Linked DNA regions of Danio rerio. The protein of the gene in region 1 purifies or fractionates together with the protein of each later gene. This does not show direct contact. Links are inferred from orthologs where the notes say so. Each region holds a gene or a part of one and is shown on either strand. Other genes may lie near its edges.

Region 1 (9,863 bases):
TTAAATTAACTAATATAGTTTTAAACATTTTACAATGAACTTAAAAACAAAAGAATCTCATTTATAACAGAATTACAGTAGTTTTTGATTTGCTCGCCAATGTCGAGTGACAGTATTTACATTTTTAAAAATCAGATTCATTTAATTGAAACATTTAAATTCAGTTTACTTACAATAAAACAAACAAAAAGGTTACATGAAATTAGAAATGATGACCTCTGTGTTAAAGACATTTGTCTGTTAAGGTAAAAAACAGAATATAAAATGTATTAGAAAGTTATAATGGTAGGGATATAGAGGATAAATAGGCTGTTAACTGTCATTAAAAAATGCTGGGTTGTTGGTTGGGTCAAATATGAAGAAACCAAACATCAATTTTCCAATTCAATTTCAAAAATTCGGCATTCGCTCCAATCCTCTCCATGATTCTCTCAGTCAAATGGGACGGTGGGCCAAATCAAAGGTTACAATGGGCCAACTTTGATTTATATAGACAAACCCAATGTTGAATATGCATACTATATAAGAAAACATGATTTAATTGGCATAAGTTATCTGGAATAAGTTTTTAAAATTAGATTAATAAGCCAACTTTAACCAGCTTGTTGGGTTTGTCCATATTTTGGTTTGAAATAACGCAACATTTTTTGATTACAAAGGGATTTTTTAAAAGTAAAAAATAGAATATAAACCAGTGGTCACCAAACTTGTTCCTGGAGGGCCGGTGTCCTGGAGATTTTAGCTCCAACCCTAATCAAACACACCTGAACAAGCTAATCAAGGTCTTAATAGGTATAGTTGAAACACAGGCAGGTGTGTTGAGGCAAATTGGAGTTAAATCCTGCAGGGACACTGGCCCTCCAGGACCGAGATTGGTGACCCCTGATATAAACTATAGAAAGGCGGGATGGTGGCTCAATGGCTAGCACTGTCAACTCACAGCAAGAAGGTCACTGGTTTGAGCCCTGGCTGGGTCAGGAGGCATTTCTGTGTGAAGTTTGCATGTTCTCCCTGTGTTCGTGTGGGTTTCCCACACAGTCCAAAGACATGCGCTGGTGAATTGGATTACCTTAATTGACAGTAGTCTATGAGTGCATGTGACGTGTGTAAATGAATAAATGTATGGGTGTTTCCCAGTACTGGTTGTGGCTGGAAAGTCTTCCTGTGTAAAACATATGCTGGAATAGTTGGTGGTTCATTGATAAACAAGAAACACTTTCATTCATTCATTCATTTTCTTTTTGGCTTAATCCCCTTATTCATCAGGGGTCACCACAGCAGAATGAACCACCAACTTATCCAGCATATGTTTTAGGCAGCGGATGCCCTTCCAGCTGCAACCCAACAGAGGGAAGCACTCATAAACACTCATTCACGCACATACACAGACAACAGACAACCCAATTGACCTATATAGTGCATGTCTTTGGACTGTAGGAGAAACCGGAGAACCCGGAGGAAACCCGTGGGAACACGGGAGAACATACAAACTCCACACAGAAATGCCAACTGACCCAGCTGAACCCATAAATCCACATTTGACCCAACACTGACTGAATTACTACAACCCAACATTTTTTAGAATGTATGTTACAGATTCCACATGCAGAACAACATCTCAACATCTCCTTCCGCAGAATTAGATATACAACAGTGTTTGATTGAATGTTTAGGCTTGTTTTGCAGTGCACACATCTGTTTCAACCAATCTACTTTCAATGATGCACATCACCAACATTTCGTATCATTTCCCTCCCACAGCCCAAACCAAAAGCAGATTTGCTTGCTTAGCTGGACATAAAAATGTAAATGAGAATGCTTGTTTTTGCACTCTGTTTGTGATCATTTAACGTGACCCCACAGAAATTGCAGCGGTCCGTTCAGGCAGCACACCAGATGTTAAACCAGGGTCATGTAATCCATATGAGATTTCTCGGGTTATCCTTTAAAAAAACAAGAGATTCACTTTACAAAAGAAGAAAAGATAAGGTGGCCAGAGTTTTGTGCACTGTGAATCACCAACAGTAACTGTTAGGAAACATAGCAAAGGTGTGAGTTTATCACACAAACACTCTAAGCTTTAACACCAATATTTCTTTAGCTTTAACTTTTCTTTCTGCTTTTTATTTTTTTTCTAAAGGAGGCAGCCTGCCCTGTTATTCCAATGTTTCTTCTGCAGGCAGCGACCAATGAAGCTCATCTCCTGTCCAGAGAAAACAAAGCTAAGCCACATTCCCAGAGTTCAATTTGCTGTTACATCGGAGGTCTGTGAATTGGGGTTTGGGCCATGCCTGTTGACTGAGGGGATCTGGGTGGAGAGAAGAGAAGACTTTACATTCTGACTGTGAAACTGGACGTTTAGTTCTCTGTGAACTTTAGGACAAGGGAGCTTTGTTGATGTGGGAAGCAAAAAGCTATTATAAAAATGTGCTACAGTAAACGTTCCTAAATAGTTACTAGGTACAGCTGTTATTACTGTAATAAAACCATAATAAAAATTGGATGTTTCAACATTCGGTATTGTTTCTGTCAGTTTATGACATTGATTTTTTTATGACAGTGGCAAGTAATACCGCATTACCACAATTTATTATGATTATTTTATTTTTTTAGGAGTGTTGGATGCTACGAAGATGGAAAACGAGTTGTTAAAAGCAGTGTTTATGACATAATCTTTTGTTGTATTGATATCATTTTCTTTTATATTACCTGCCTGCTCTACCAAACTATTGACCATATTTTGACTCTTTTAAATGATGGTTTACATACACAGCATTGTCGGTTTACAAAAAAAATCAAACACACATAATCCTGTTGCACTACTTCACTTGATTTATTTATTTATTTTTTTTAAAGATGTATTGGCCTTTTTGCCTTTATTAGATAGGACAGTATTGAGACAGGAAGCAAAGTTGGAGAGAGAGAGAGGGGGGTTAGGGTAGGGAAATGTCCTCGAGCTGGGATTCAAACTCAGGACGCCCTGATATGCTACTGCACCATATGTCGACACTCTAACCACTAGGCTATTATGCCGACTACTACACTTGATTTTGATTTTATTGTAAAAACAAACAAACAAAAAAACAAGAAAATGTTTTAAATCAAATCAAATTAAATCACTTTTACTGTCACATCCGCAAGTGCACTATGATGAGTGAAAAGCTTAGGTGCTGGCTCAAGACCCAGACCCAAAATAAAACAATATACTATTAGCAATGTTGACAGTAATATGTAAAAGACAATAAATACATGATTGACAGTAGGTTAAGAAAGAGCCACATAGACAAGTACACAGTCAAAAAGGTGTGCACATAGTTTGATAGTTTGACTGTCAAACTATAGTCAAATGAAAATTAAAAATCTAAAATATTTTATGGCAGACTTCAAAAAATAAAGATGATTTAGTATTAAAATAGTTTTATTTTGATTATGTTTTGAAAAAAATTGTCTTTTACAATTCATATATTCAGATTTTTCATTCAGATTTTCATTTACCATAAACCGACATGTCTACTATTTGGTAGAGGTTGACTTTTTTTTTTTAATTATGGAACGTGTTGAAAAAATGCATTGAGTGTTTTAACTAGAGACATTAGTAGTTAAGAAATGCTATCCAAAAATGTTTTTCTTGGTGGGGCAGTTAAAGGGTTAAACATAATAGGGTGAGCCTAAAGTTGGACATTGCCTAATGTGGGACACCTATGATATATAAAACTATTAAAAAAAAATATCTGGGTATTTTATGCAAAAGTATTTTTAAAATAAAACAAAACATGAAGGAAGAATAAATCATATTTAACTATCTTGTTATATTAATTAAAAAAAAAAGTATACCATAGTGTTTGTTATCGTCATTCATTCATTCATTCATTCATTCATTCATTCATTCATTCATTTTTTTTTGTTTATTCCCCTTATTCATCAGGGGTCGCTACAGCAGAATGAACCGCCAACTTGTCTAGCTTATGTTTTACACAGCAGGTGCCCTTCCAGCTGCAACCCATCACGGGGAAACATCCATTCACATGCATACACTACAGCCAATTTAGTTTATTCAATTCACCTATAGCGTATTTCTTTGGACTGAGGGGGAAACTGGAGCACTGGGAGGAAACCCACGCCAACACGGGGAGAACATGCCAACTCCACACAGAAATGCCAAATGACCCAGCCAGGGCTTAAACCAGTGACCTTCTTGCTGTGAAGCGACAGTGCTAATTACTTAGCCACCGTGTCTCCCAGTTTGATATAGTATAAAATGAAAAAAAGCAACAACTAAATACTTTATCATAAAATTCAATATGCCCATTCAACGCATATTTTTAATAAACCTGCTAAAATGCCCAGTAAATGAAATTTTTTTCTGGAAAATTAATACTTATGAGCATGACTAATACATTATAAATGTATTGTCTCGATTTAACACATTTATTAAAATTTCAACATGTCAAATTCTTATCAATGTTTTTGAAAACCATGAATATTAAATACAAAGAAGAGGGCTGGGCAATAATATGCTACATAATAATTTTACAAAGTTTAGACTAGGTAAACTATTTGTATAGCTGCTTTGAAACAATAATTATTATGAAAAGCTCTATATAAATAAACGTGAATTGAACTTTACAAGCAAAAATTACAAAAATGGAAAACAAATAGCCTCATTCACAATCTGAATCATCTATATAACAACAATAGAAGAATACGTATCCAGTTCATTACAAACATATACCCAAACTACATCAAATCAAGATAAATACAAGTAATAATCGAAATTATCATCGAAATCCTCAGGCTTTCTCTTTCTGCTTCACACAGAGGAACCAATTCTCTCTGCGGAACCAAAGTTAGAGTCGTGTTTTCCGTCCGACGCATTTCAAAGTAACGGTCTTATGTCATTATACAGAAATCTTGATAGTTTTTTTGCAGACAGCCAGAGATTAAACATTGTGACAGTTTTCACTTGTTATTAAACTTTTCATTTATCTAGTTAGAAACTCTCGGTTTTAACAGAACTTATTTGAAGACGGCGAGGCAAGCCTGATCCATATGAACGTCTGCTACAGTGCTGCAGCTTTCACGTGCACGGACTCGATACTTTACACATTATAAACATTTGATAATAAACACAGGTAAGTCGACTGTGTGTGTATTTCTGAACTCGTCGATAAATAGTAGCTTCAGAAGTAGTTATGTTTCATCGTGCGGCTCAGCTGACGAATGTAGATGATGAAATGAGAGTCCTGACAGGCGTAATGTCTTAAACATGACAAGGAAATACATATATTGAACATAATACTCCGTCTGTCACTTTGCTGGATTGTTTTGTTGTTAGTGTTGTTGTTGTTTGTGGACTAAACGTGTTGTTTTGTTCTGCAAGTGTTCGGGATGGAGCTACAGGCGGTGCTGATGGCAGCCGGTGGAGGCTCCAGGATGATGGATCTCACCTATAACACCCCCAAACCTCTGCTTCCTGTGGGCAACAAACCCCTCATCTGGTACCCCCTTAACCTGCTGGAGAGAGTGGGATTTGAAGGTAAACCTACTGTCTTATCAGATAACAAAGTTCATTAGAAGTGTCACCTGCTGAGTGTATGAGGTGTACAATATTCAACACCGTTATCTAGTAAACTCGGCATTTAACACACACTTTTTCATATTGTTATTTTAGATTTTGTAATTAGGGTCTGCCTATAAAGATTGTGTTGGTGGATATGACTGATATGCTCTGCATTTTTTGGTCATCTGTAATACAGTATGGGTTCAAATGGTATTCAAATATCCTCTTTAATTATTATAGAGCAGGGCGATTAATTGAAAAGTAATAGAAATCGACATTCAGAACCTATAATCGATCAAAATTTTTCTTGTCAATTTTTTTCAATTACTTTCCCTACAGTGTGTGGAGTCACGTTAGCCTACTCTGTTAAGCCTGATATATACTTTTGCATTGAACGCATGGGTATGGTCTGGAGCAGCTTTTAAGTGGACGAATACTCGCGCACCTCTCGAAAAATGTAACTACAGATCGCACATTTGCATTACATTGACGATGATTGGAAGCTGCATCAGAGAAGCCTTGAGACAGCGTATTTTCTATTACAATAAAATTATTATTCACATTAAAATATTTGTTTACAGACGATTCAAGAAATACAGTTTAAAATATTAATAACATGATATACAAAAGTTGTTACATTCTGAAGAGATTCTGCTTATTTTCTTTTTAAAACATTGAAAATAATTGATTTTGTTTTCAAAAGTGCAAGTTATTTGTTTTCACTTTTTTATAAGAAAATAGTGACTGTTCGTTTTAAGCAATGTGTGTTTTAATTTCAAATCACTTTTACTGTCACATCATCAGCAGTATGTGTGCTATGATGAGTGAAAAGCTTAGTTGAAAAAATTTCAGTTGTTCAACACTGATGTTCAGTAAATAATCATAGATAGTAAATATCTTAATCAAGTAAAGCACCGTTCATTCAAAAATCTCTCACTTGTAAAATGTGAGCATATTTACTGTACAAAACCTGTCAGTGAACTATGAGTTCAAAAAATCGAGTTAAAATGTTCAGTTAATTGAGATTGAGAGATTATTTTTATTTTTATTATTATAAAGTAGGTTTCATCTGTAATTCAATCAAACAATCACCTTACTACAATCACCAGTAAAATTAAATTACACATTAAAACACAGACAATGACGAAGAACAAAATCAAAGCAATGATGTCAATAAAACAATCATACTAATTTAAACTGCTGAACATCAAATGCTATTCTAAGTAAATGGGGTTTAAGTTTAGCTTTAAGTAGTGCTGCATTTGTGATGGTGTGTTTTTTGGTTATTTATATTTATATTTTTAGGTTATATTTATTATTGTATTTTTTTTCATGCGAATTAAGTAGGGCTGCACAATATATAGTTTCAGGATCAATATCGCAATGTGATCATTCGCATAAGTCACATCGCAAGTATGTGTAATGTTGAGTCTGGATTATAATGTAGCTTATTGCAAGTGTTTTTTGAGGCCTACGACTTTCAGAGGCTTTTAAAGGCATGAGAATATTTACCATTTGCAACTCTCAAATATTAATAATGATTAATTTTATCGAACTGTTTGTAAAATAAATACTTTGCACTATTATCTTACATTTGAATATTCAATTATTTTATACCTGATGACATTTTAACTTTTTAAAATAAAATTCAGTTTATTTAATTAGCATATTTAGATTTTTGAATTTATCTATGCTTGTAGATTGTTTCTTATATTTTATGCACTCTACTACAGAATTATCCCAATCAATCTGAAATTATAAATTCTTTCTAAACAGTTATTCTACTCATCTAGTGAAATTGTATTCATATCGCAATATATATCGTAGAATAAAAATTTTTTTGCAATGCAAAATTTTTCCAATATCGTGCAGCCCTTGAATTAAATGTATGTATGTATGTATGTATATATATATATATATATATATATATATATATATATATATATATATATATATATATATATATATATATATATATATATATAAATATATACACACACACACACACACACACACACACACAATAACCATCAATAGCCCTTTTCCAATATCGTGCAGCCCTTGAATTAAATATATATATATATATATATATATATATATATATATATATATAAATATATATATACATATATATATATATATATATATATATATATATATATATATATATATATATATATATATATATAAATATATACACACACACACACAATAACCATCTAATAATCATTTGCAGGTTATCGCTGTTAGTTTACTTAGAGACTGTAACAGTATAATTTTCCAAAACTTGCACATTAATAATTCTCTTTGTTCCAGACACTAGGTTCAATAGTACAAAAGACCTTAAAAAAGACAGTTATGCCAATATTTCATTAAAGGTGACTGAAAATGCACTTCAGTAAACCCAGAATTTATCAACAACATTAAAATGCTATTCTGAGAATTTCTTTCACTAGTTAAATGATAATAAGATGAGATCATGAGAAATATTTTATGTAACAGTCTACATAACAGATCTCACAGTTATATCATGCACTCTGTAAAAAAAACTAAAAAAAGCATTCATTTAGCTGACTCATTGTTTAATAGCCAATTGGAAGCTCTGCTTGTAAATAGCTCTGAATGGATTTGCTGACAAGGGATTGGATGACATTATTGGAGGTGGGCCCTTAGAGAGTGGGTGTGTGTGGTGGACGATAAGTCAACAAAATTGCTTACAACACATTTAATCTGCAGGTGGTAATAATTTGTGCAGGCTGCTTAAATTGAACTAATAAAGTCCTTATTTCCTAAATAGGGAAGGTAGGGTAGTTTTTACAATTGGCTCACTAAAATGGCTTGGTTTCCACGTTACACCCACCCGCACACATGCTGCTTCTCCGTTTTAGTGTCAAGACTTTTTTATTTTTTTTTCAGAAAACAGGAGCTTGATTTTAGAACTAGATCTTTCTAGTTTTGACTGCAAATTTTGAGTAAAAGGATGTACACTACCCGTCAAACTTTTGGGATCAGTATGATTTTTAAATGTTTTAAAAAAAGCTTATCCTGCTCATCAAGGCTGCATTTGTTTAATCAAAAATACAGTAAAAAATTGTACAATTGACAAAATGTTGTTGCAGTATAAAATAACTGTTCAAATAGAGTAAAAAATTATTTAATAGTTTAATCCAGTGAATTTAAAGATGAATTTTTAGCTTCATTACTCCAGTCTTCAGAGTCCCTCACGTGATCCTTTAGAAATCACTCTAATATTAATTATTGTTATTATTATTATTATTATTATTATTATTATTATTATTAATGGTAATAGTAATAAAAGCAACAACGTTGTTGGGCGATGTTAACCAATTTGGCATCATACGATGTCTAATGTGAAATTGCAATGGACGATGGCATCCCTGAATTGAGTATTTATGAATAATTAATTAATTTATAACAAATAAATTATTTGTAGCCTACCATTTCAACTACCTGACCCGCATGGTCTTTGTTTTTACTCATATCCAAATCATGAATAAATAAAGATAAATTACACACAAATTACCACCTGTCAATCACTTTTTCCACAGGACTCTGGCATTATAAAGGGGTTGAAAAACTTGGTTGGTAAAAAAAGGTGCACAACCAACTGAAACCAACCAACAGTATCTGAGGTTTCGCTAAAATTACCAAGTACAAGTGTAAAAGTGAAAGATTGAAGCAGTGTACTGATGCTGTGACACGTTACCTGAAAGATTTAAAAGACTGAAGAGTCGTTAGATGGAGGCAAGATTAATTCAATATTACGTTTAAGAGTGAGACGCGATCCAGCAGTACATCCTTGATAACCTGTCTGTCGTGCACTGCTTTCTGGGGTTCTGTGCTCAAAGCCCCCTTTGACTGCCTGGAGCTTAGACTTGCGCATACACTGCAGCTCATGCCAGAGTGTGCGTGTGTTTGTGGTCACGTATGTGCACATTCAGTGGTATAGGGAGATCTGTTCAGAAAAGCTAGGTGAAACGCTAGTGTGGACGTGGATTGTTTTCGTTCTAAAATGCCATTTTAAAAGTAAGAATTATAAGTATAAACGGGGCCTAAATATGTATTTTTTGTGAGCGGGTTGCTGCTGCGACGGGGGCGTAGCAGAGGATCGCAATGCCGGCTCAGCATCGTGATGTCTATCAGCCATCGGGATAGATGAAGGCACCGTCTATCGACCCAACCCTACTACATACAATAAGTAATAAATAAATATTTAATAAAGTATTTTACAATTTAACAATTGTCGTTAGATTTAATAAATGTCACCTTGATGAACAGAATA
Region 2 (9,923 bases), on another chromosome or scaffold:
AGGTTTATCAGCAGCTGGTGTATAGTTATTTATTCTGTGGTGTACAACTGGCTGGATGTACATTATCCTGCACATTGTTAAAAATGTCGGTGATATTTAGGAACAGTAAAAATGCAATGCTGAAATTCTGTAAGCTAGTTAGAAGTACAGTTTTTTCTACATAAAAACAGAACAGATCTGCTAGATGGAGTGAAATGCTGAACTGACCGGATGTTCCAGTGATGTGAGACTGATGAAGCGCAGGAATAGTTCTCCGCCAGATGACACGGCGACGGATGAATCGGCCTCCTGCAGCCTGTGAATGGCCTGAGTCATGTTCTCTCTCAGGCCCAGAATCGTTTCACCTGCAGGAGGACAAGCATCGGTTTACATCAAACATCGGTTCATATCGTTTCACATCCTCATCAAGCATCCTCTCATATCTATATCATGTATCGGTTCACATTAGTTCACATCAGTAAACATCAAGAATCGATTCACATCCAAATCAAGCATAGGTTCACATGGTTTCAAATCCATATCAAGTTTCGGTTCAAATTAGTTCACATCCAAATCAAGCATCGGTTCAAATTAGTTCACATCCAAATCAAGCATCGGTTCACATTAGTTACCATCCACATCAAGCATCGGTTCACACTAGTTCACATCCAAATCAAGCATCGGTTCACATTAGTTCCCATCCACATCAAGCATCAGTTCACACTAGTTCACATTCAAATCAAGAAACGGTTCACATTAGTTCACATAATTTCACAACCTTATCAAGCATCAGTTCCCATCTACATAAAGTATCGATTCACATTAGTTCCCATCCACATCAAGCATCGGTTCACACTAGTTCACATCCAAATCAAGCATCGGTTCACACTAGTTCACATCCAAATCAAGCATCGGTTCACACTAGTTCACATCCAAATCAAGCATCGGTTCACATTAGTTCCCATCTACATCAAGCATCAGTTCGCACTAGTTCACATTTAAATCAAGAAACGGTTCACATTAGTTCACATAATTTCACAACCTTATCAAGCATCAGTTCCCATCTACATAAAGTATCGATTCACATTAGTTCCCATCCACATCAAGCATCGGTTCACACTAGTTCACATCATTTCACATTCACATCAAGAATCTGTTCACATCTATATCAATTATATCTTCACATTAGTTTATATCCACATCAAGCATCAGTTCACACCCACATCAGGAGTCGGTTCACATGCACATCAAGCATCGGTTTACAATCACATCTATGTCAAGTATTAGTTCACATTAGTTCACATCTAAATCAAGCATCAGTTCACAGTAGTTCACATCAAGCATAGGCTCACACCCACATTGATCCACATCTATATTATCCAGTTTCAGTTCACATTAGTTCACATCCACATCAAGCATGGGTTCACACTAGTTCACATCCAAATCAAGCATCGATTCACATTAGTTCCCATCCACATCAAGCATCGGTTCACACTAGTTCACATCCAAATCAAGCATCGGTTCACATTAGTTCCCATCTACATCAAGCATCAGTTCACATTAGTTCACATCCAAATCAAGCATCGATTCACATTAGTTCCCATCCACATCAAGCATCGGTTCACACTAGTTCACATCCAAATCAAGCATCGGTTCACACTAGTTCACATCCAAATCAAGCATCGGTTCACACTAGTTCACATCCAAATCAAGCATCGGTTCACATTAGTTCCCATCTACATCAAGCATCAGTTCGCACTAGTTCACATTTAAATCAAGAAACGGTTCACATTAGTTCACATAATTTCACAACCTTATCAAGCATCAGTTCCCATCTACATAAAGTATCGATTCACATTAGTTCCCATCCACATCAAGCATCGGTTCACACTAGTTCACATCATTTCACATTCACATCAAGAATCTGTTCACATCTATATCAATTATATCTTCACATTAGTTTATATCCACATCAAGCATCAGTTCACACCCACATCAGGAGTCGGTTCACATGCACATCAAGCATCGGTTTACAATCACATCTATGTCAAGTATTAGTTCACATTAGTTCACATCTAAATCAAGCATCAGTTCACAGTAGTTCACATCAAGCATAGGCTCACACCCACATTGATCCACATCTATATTATCCAGTTTCAGTTCACATTAGTTCACATCCACATCAAGCATGGGTTCACACTAGTTCACATCCAAATCAAGCATCGATTCACATTAGTTCCCATCCACATCAAGCATCGGTTCACACTAGTTCACATCCAAATCAAGCATCGGTTCACATTAGTTCCCATCTACATCAAGCATCAGTTCACATTAGTTCACATCCAAATCAAGCATCGATTCACATTAGTTCCCATCCACATCAAGCATCGGTTCACACTAGTTCACATCCAAATCAAGCATCGGTTCACACTAGTTCACATCCAAATCAAGCATCGGTTCACACTAGTTCACATCCAAATCAAGCATCGGTTCACATTAGTTCCCATCTACATCAAGCATCAGTTCGCACTAGTTCACATTTAAATCAAGAAACGGTTCACATTAGTTCACATAATTTCACAACCTTATCAAGCATCAGTTCCCATCTACATAAAGTATCGATTCACATTAGTTCCCATCCACATCAAGCATCGGTTCACACTAGTTCACATCATTTCACATTCACATCAAGAATCTGTTCACATCTATATCAATTATATCTTCACATTAGTTTATATCCACATCAAGCATCAGTTCACACCCACATCAGGAGTCGGTTCACATGCACATCAAGCATCGGTTTACAATCACATCTATGTCAAGTATTAGTTCACATTAGTTCACATCTAAATCAAGCATCAGTTCACAGTAGTTCACATCAAGCATAGGCTCACACCCACATTGATCCACATCTATATTATCCAGTTTCAGTTCACATTAGTTCACATCCACATCAAGCATGGGTTCACACTAGTTCACATCCAAATCAAGCATCGATTCACATTAGTTCCCATCCACATCAAGCATCGGTTCACACTAGTTCACATCCAAATCAAGCATCGGTTCACATTAGTTCCCATCTACATCAAGCATCAGTTCACATTAGTTCACATCCAAATCAAGCATCGATTCACATTAGTTCCCATCCACATCAAGCATCGGTTCACACTAGTTCACATCCAAATCAAGCATCGGTTCACACTAGTTCACATCCAAATCAAGCATCGGTTCACATTAGTTCCCATCTACATCAAGCATCAGTTCGCACTAGTTCACATTTAAATCAAGAAACGGTTCACATTAGTTCACATAATTTCACAACCTTATCAAGCATCAGTTCCCATCTACATAAAGTATCGATTCACATTAGTTCCCATCCACATCAAGCATCGGTTCACACTAGTTCACATCCAAATCAAGCATAGGTTCAAACTAGTTCACATCATTTCACATTCACATCAAGAATCTGTTCACATCTATATCAATTATATCTTCACATTAGTTTATATCCACATCAAGCATCAGTTCACACCCACATCAGGAGTCGGTTCACATGCACATCAAGCATCGGTTTACAATCACATCTATGTCAAGTATTAGTTCACATTTGTTCACATCTAAATCAAGCATCGGTTCACACCCACATTGATCCACATCTATATTATCCAGTTTCAGTTCACATTAGTTCACATCCACATCAAGCATGGGTTCATATCTATATCAGGTATCGGTTCACACCCTCATGAGTTCACTTCTATATCAAGTATCAATTCTCATTAGTTCACATCCACATCAACCATCGGTTCACATCAGTTGACTTCCACATCAAGAACCAGTTCACATTCAAATTAAGTATCAGTTCACATTAGTTCACATCCACATCAACCATCGCTTCACATCAGTTGACATCCACAACAAGAACCAGTTCACATTAGTTCACATCCATATCAAGTATCGGTTCACATTAGTTCATATCCAAATAAAGCATCAATTCACATCAGTTGACATCCACATCAAGCATCGGTTCACATCTATTTCAAGCATCAGTTCACATCCACATCCCAAGCCGAAAATCAAACAGCACAAACTCACTCTGATCCCTCTTCAGGAACTCAAGCAGTGATCGAATCGCAGCCACCGCTGAAGCCACATCTGGATCTTCCCTGATCTGCCCACGGAAATACTCCACCAGTTCTGGAAGAGAGAAATACATATTCAAATAAATTACTGACTTCCACTGTTGAATTGTTTTAATTCCCAATCTGAAAATATCAGGGTATAAATGTAAACGTTTTGCATTTTTGTCTTTGTAATTCTGTACCTTCGCTGTTGAATTGTTTGGTGAAAGTAAGCTGTGTTGGGTAAGAAAAGTACTTAACTTCAAATTACCTAACTGAAATTGTATTTAAACTTCTGCTGGATAACAATACAGTATAAAACTAAACTCATATAAAGTGTAAAATATATTTTAGATAATTATGTTTATAATTATGTTTATAGTCTTTAGTACTAGCCGATGAATTAATTAATAATAAACTGAACCTTTTGGTAAAATGTTAGACTTACAGTATAGTATAGTAAAGCTATTCATAATTTTGACCACAAATAACTACAATTACCAACAATTTAACAACATTGAAACATTTAACAACATTTAACAATTACTCAGACATTAAATAGCGAGTGAACAAAAAAGTCAAACCCTAAAATTAATAAAGAACAGCTTTTATAACACACACTATGAGCAGCTATAATCATCTGTGTAAACATCATGACTCTTGCACCTTTAAATAATTAAATAAATGAAATATTATTAATCTCCTGATCAACAAAGTCTTTAGATGTTCCCATAATGCATTAGCTATACATATATACACGTGGAATCACGAAATGTTCTCAATTATTATTGATATTATGTGTGTCAATCAAACAGGTCGAAAACAAGCACAAATGCCTTGCGTTACCAACCAACATATCAACATAATTGATCATAATATAATTCAAAATGTAATATAAGATGCTCAGGAAAGCAAAGCAGCTACGCAAATAACTCAGAATCATCTCTGAATAATTATTAAGTGTGTTCTGTCTTGTGTTGTTGTCAAACTCACCTCTTTCCTCCATTTTAAAAGCACTTTCTCTCTCAGAGATCTGTCAAGTTTTGAGTTTCACGAGCTAATAATGATAGTGTCGCTGATGCAACGATCTGTCATGACGCTCTCTGACATCCAGTACGACGAATTGTTTAAAGTTTGTCTACAAAGTAATGCTTGCTTTACCCATTTATTTCATACGATCCCTTTCAGAAACTGAATAACATCTATTCTTCTAGTGTATTTCAAATGAAAGGCTATTTACAGTGAACAAGTGGACATGCTCACTTTCTTCTTCTTCGTTGTTTTATGTCGAGTGAACAGTCGCTTCATGTAGCGCCGCTGCTGGACAGCAGAAAAACAGCAGGATCATTTGTTTAATTCTCTACTACAGGGTTATTCAAACTGTATAATAACACAATTAAAATAATTATCAATCGAATCGAATATTTTTAAAAATATTATTACGGCATATAAATAAATTAGTACAAAAAAGAACTAAAATTAATTTATATTAATAATTGTTGTGTGTATAAGGAATAAATTTAGTACTTTAATGAGTAGGAAATACATTAATTAACGTAACTTAATAGAACACAATACGGAATGCATAATAATATACTGCTAATGATATATATATATTTTTTCAAAGTAAAATAATAAAATTAAATGTTATAAGTATAGACATATACAAACTGTGAGCTTGTAGAGTTTAATTTCGGTGCCTGAAAAAAAAAGTTTAGTTGTCTCTGCAAGATAAATAAATATAAAATATAATATTGCATATGGAATGCCGGAGGATAGTGAGTAAAATAAAACAAAATAATAATAAAATAAAATAATAATATTAATAATAATATAAAAAAAGAGTGATAAAATAAAATAAAATTAAATAAAATTAAATAAAATTAAATAAAATTAAATTAAAATAATGTAAAATTAAATAAAATAAAACAATAAAATAAGATAAAAAGTAAAAGGAAATAAAATAAAATAATAAAATAAGATAAAAAAGTTAAATAAAATAAAATAAAGTAAAGTAAAAAAAATGAAAAATAAAAAATAATAGTAAAATAAGATAGGATAAGATAAGATTAGTTAAAATAAAAAAATGAATTGAAATGAGATAAATAAAATAAAACAAAAATAAAAAAATTAAAAAAATAAAATCAAAGAAAATAAATCTAAACTAAACTAAATATTGTGATTAGAAGGCCGAAGGATTGTAAATAAAATAAATAAAAATAAAAATAAGAAAACAAAAATAAATAAAACAAAAATAAAATAAAAAATAAATAAAATACAGTAAAAAAAATATAAAAATAAAACAAAAATAAAATAAAACGAAATAAAATAAAGAAGGAAAATTAAAAAATGATATTTTTTTTCCTGCACCAGTACAGCAGGTGGCGCTACACTGAGTTCAATCTCTCCATTAAATAAACAGAAGAAGATTTAAGCATGAGTCCAAACAGCACAACTTTCAACATATTGAAGAAAACAGCAAAGAAATACAGTTTTATATCAATTTAGAGACGCCGGAATTGCAGCAATGGCTTCGGGTTTGTAAATCACACAAACACCATTAATGAAACGTTTAACGGTTTTTCGATCTCTCGGGTTTCTCTTTGTGTAGGAAGAAGATGAAGATGCTTCAACAATAAACATACAAAAGATGATGATGATAATAATAATAGCGCTTGCTGATGTTTTGCAGACGATGATATTAATATTCTGGTCATAGTGCTGGATGTGAATCCTGTGTGGTGGGGTCAGCAGGCGCAGCGGGAGCCAAAGGTCAGTTTAATATTAATTCATTAATATTTAAATTTATTTTAGGTAAAGTCTATAAGAGATACAGCTGCGTTTACTCCCGTCATTATACACTCACCGGCCACTTTATTAGGTACACCTGTCCAGCTACTCATTAACGCAAATTTCTTATCAGCCAATCACAGGGCAGCAACTCAATGCATTTAGGCTTCAAGACATGCTCAGGACGATCTGCTGCAGTTCAAAGCGAGCATCAGAAAGGGGATTTAAGTGACTTTGAATGTGGCATGATTGTTGGTGCCAGACAGGCTGGTCTGAGTGTTTCAGAAACTGCTGATCTACTGGGATTTTCACGCACAACCATCTCTAGGGTTCACAGAGAATGGTCTGAACAAGAGAAAATATGCAGTGAGCGGCAGTTCTGTTGGCACAAATGCCTTTTTGATGCCAGAGGAGAATGGCCAAACTGGTTCCAGCTGATAGAAAGGCAACAGTAACTCAAATAATCACCCGAGGTCTGCAGAAGAGCATCTCTGAACACACTACACGTCCAACCTTGAGGCGGATGGGCTACAGCAGCAGAAGACCACACCGGGTGCCGCTCCTGTCAGCTAAGAGCAGGAAACTGAGGCTACAATTCACACAGACTCACCAAAACTGGACAATAGAAGATTGGAGAACCATTGCCTGCTCTGATGAGTCTCCATTTCTGCTGACACATTCAGATGTTCGGGTCAGAATTTAGAGTCAACAACATGAAATCATGAATCCATCCTGCCCTGTATCAATGGTTCAGGCTTGTGGTGGCGGTGTAATGGTGTGGGAGAGATTTTCTTAGAACACTTTGGGTCCATTAGTACCAATTGAGCATGGTGTCAACACCACAGCCTACCTGAGTATTGTAGCCTACCATGTCCATCCCTTTATGATCACAGTGTCTCCATCTTCTGATGGCTACTTCCAGCAGGTTAAGGCACCATGTCATAAAGCGTGAATCATCTCAGACTGGTTTCATGAACATGACAATGAGTTCACTGTACTCAAATGGCCTCCACAGTCACCAGAGCTCAATCCAATAGAGCACCTTTGGGATGTGGTGGAGCAGGAGATTGGCATCATGGATGTGCAGCCGACAAATCTGCAGCAACTGCGTGATGCTATCATGTCAATATGGAGCAAAATCTCTGAGGAATATTTCCAGTAGCGTGTTGAATCTATACCATGAAGGATTAAGGCAGTTCTGAGGGCAAAAGGGGTCCAACCTGGTACTAGTAAGATGTACCTAATAAAGTGGCCGGTGAGTGTACTGTTGTACAACAGTAATGAATACTTTTCAGGTAGTTTTAGTGTTGGGGTGAGGAGGATGTTGATACATAAGTAACATGAATAATATTCTGTATAATTACGGTGTTTACATTACTGTGTGGGTTGGGGTTTAAGTAGATGTTAATAAAATACAATTGATAGGTCATTATTACATAAATAATATAATAAATTCTCATTTAAACTTCTGGCCGCAGCTGTTTCCCTTCTAGCAGCAACTGTTTATTCACTATAATCCACCATGTTTGCACTATTATCGCTATTACCAATACAGGTGAACAAATAACTTGTTATTTATTTTCCTTCAGTTCACCCTTTCAGCATGTTTGGACAGTTTGATGGTCCTGGCAAATGCTCATTTGGTCATGTCAAGGACCAACAAACTAGCCGTCATCGCCAGCCTGTATCACGAAAGGTAAACATAGACAATTAATTTTATATATCAGGCATATTATCAGTCCAGGGGTTCGTTCTTCGTACGTGGATTACTCAATTAGCTGGATTTGGGTATTGACGATTTGACACGATCCAGGATCGTTTCGTTCTTCAATACTGACCTGAGAGTTGTTGTCATAGCAACAGTTCTGATAGCTCAAACCTGCATCGGTGCAGGTTCAATTAATATAAACAGGATTAGCAAAGCAAACAAGCAAAGGTAATACTGAAAGTATGTACTGAATGCTGATAATTTCTTACAGTAGATATATACACTTGGGAAAATAGTAAACATGTATTTTTTAACTATAAGTAAAAAATATATATATTTTAATAAAACAATGTAATCTGCACTCCGAAATAAAAGTACAAAGAGAAAAATTTATTGATATGATCTTTTTAGTTACAAACGCGTACACGCACAATATTCAACTTTAAAAAAACAAGGATAATAATTTATGCAGTCATGGAGGTGTTTGACCGCTAATATGCCGCTGATTTGATGTTTCGCAAAAGTTGCCTGCACCTTTACCGATATCAAAATGTTTTTTTGATGCAAAATTAATTTATACAGTTATTTGCCTGCGCCGATTAAAAAAACTTGAGTAGGCCTATAGGCTACTATAATGAAGAAAATCTTCTCTAAATGTAGAACTAAATACATTGATATGATGAATACTCTTGACACATGAAAGAGTAAAGCCTGCAGTCCACAACAAATGTGGAAAGTTGATGCGTGTCATATTTATCAAACCGTTTACTGCTAATTTGATGTCATTTTGCTCACATGGATAATCAAATATAAATCGGATGATGTCATTACGCTGCTGTGCCATCAGCCAATCGTTGCTTTGCTGATCATGATTTCGAGGATACATAGATCTGTCCTTCACAACACATGCAGCGATCTCAGATCAGTTTATCCAGACATTCTAATCTGATTCGCGAACTTGTTTGAAGAACCAAATTAGCCAGAGATCAGCCATAGAGATTAAAAGATCCAGGATCTGCCAAATCATCTTAGATCATTTAAGTGAGGTACAAAGAACGGACCCCAGGATAAAAAACAAATATATATAGCTGAAGTCAGAATTATTCACCCTGTTTATTTTTTCCCCAATTTCTGTTTAGCAGTGCAGATTTTCTCAACACATTTCTAATCATAATAGTTTTAATAACTCATCTCTAATCACTGATTTATTTTATCTTTGCCATGATGACAGTAAATAATATTTGACTAGATATTCTTCAAGACACTTCTATACAGCTTAAAGTGACATTTAAAGGCTTAACTAGGTTAATTAGGTTAACTAGGCAGGT

The links.
Region 2: the proteins of eif2b3 (region 1) and eif2b1 purify together in Homo sapiens (affinity purification with mass spectrometry; 7 studies listed by BioGRID and IntAct, counting the BioPlex papers as one, with this or other methods). This does not show direct contact. The link is inferred for Danio rerio from reciprocal best matches to the Homo sapiens genes EIF2B3 and EIF2B1.

Annotation. Positions count from the first base shown.
Region 1 is NC_133177.1:37,040,037-37,049,899, reverse strand, and holds the start of eif2b3 (translation initiation factor eIF2B subunit gamma), read left to right. Parts: upstream 1-4,872; 5' UTR 4,873-5,132; intron 5,133-5,380; 5' UTR 5,381-5,388; coding exon 5,389-5,536; intron 5,537-9,863. UniProt on the Homo sapiens protein: Acts as a component of the translation initiation factor 2B (eIF2B) complex, which catalyzes the exchange of GDP for GTP on the eukaryotic initiation factor 2 (eIF2) complex gamma subunit.
Region 2 is NC_133180.1:75,664,131-75,674,053, forward strand, and holds the start of eif2b1 (translation initiation factor eIF2B subunit alpha), read right to left. Parts: upstream 5,391-9,923; 5' UTR 5,104-5,390; coding exon 5,091-5,103; intron 4,174-5,090; coding exon 4,072-4,173; intron 345-4,071; coding exon 208-344; intron 1-207.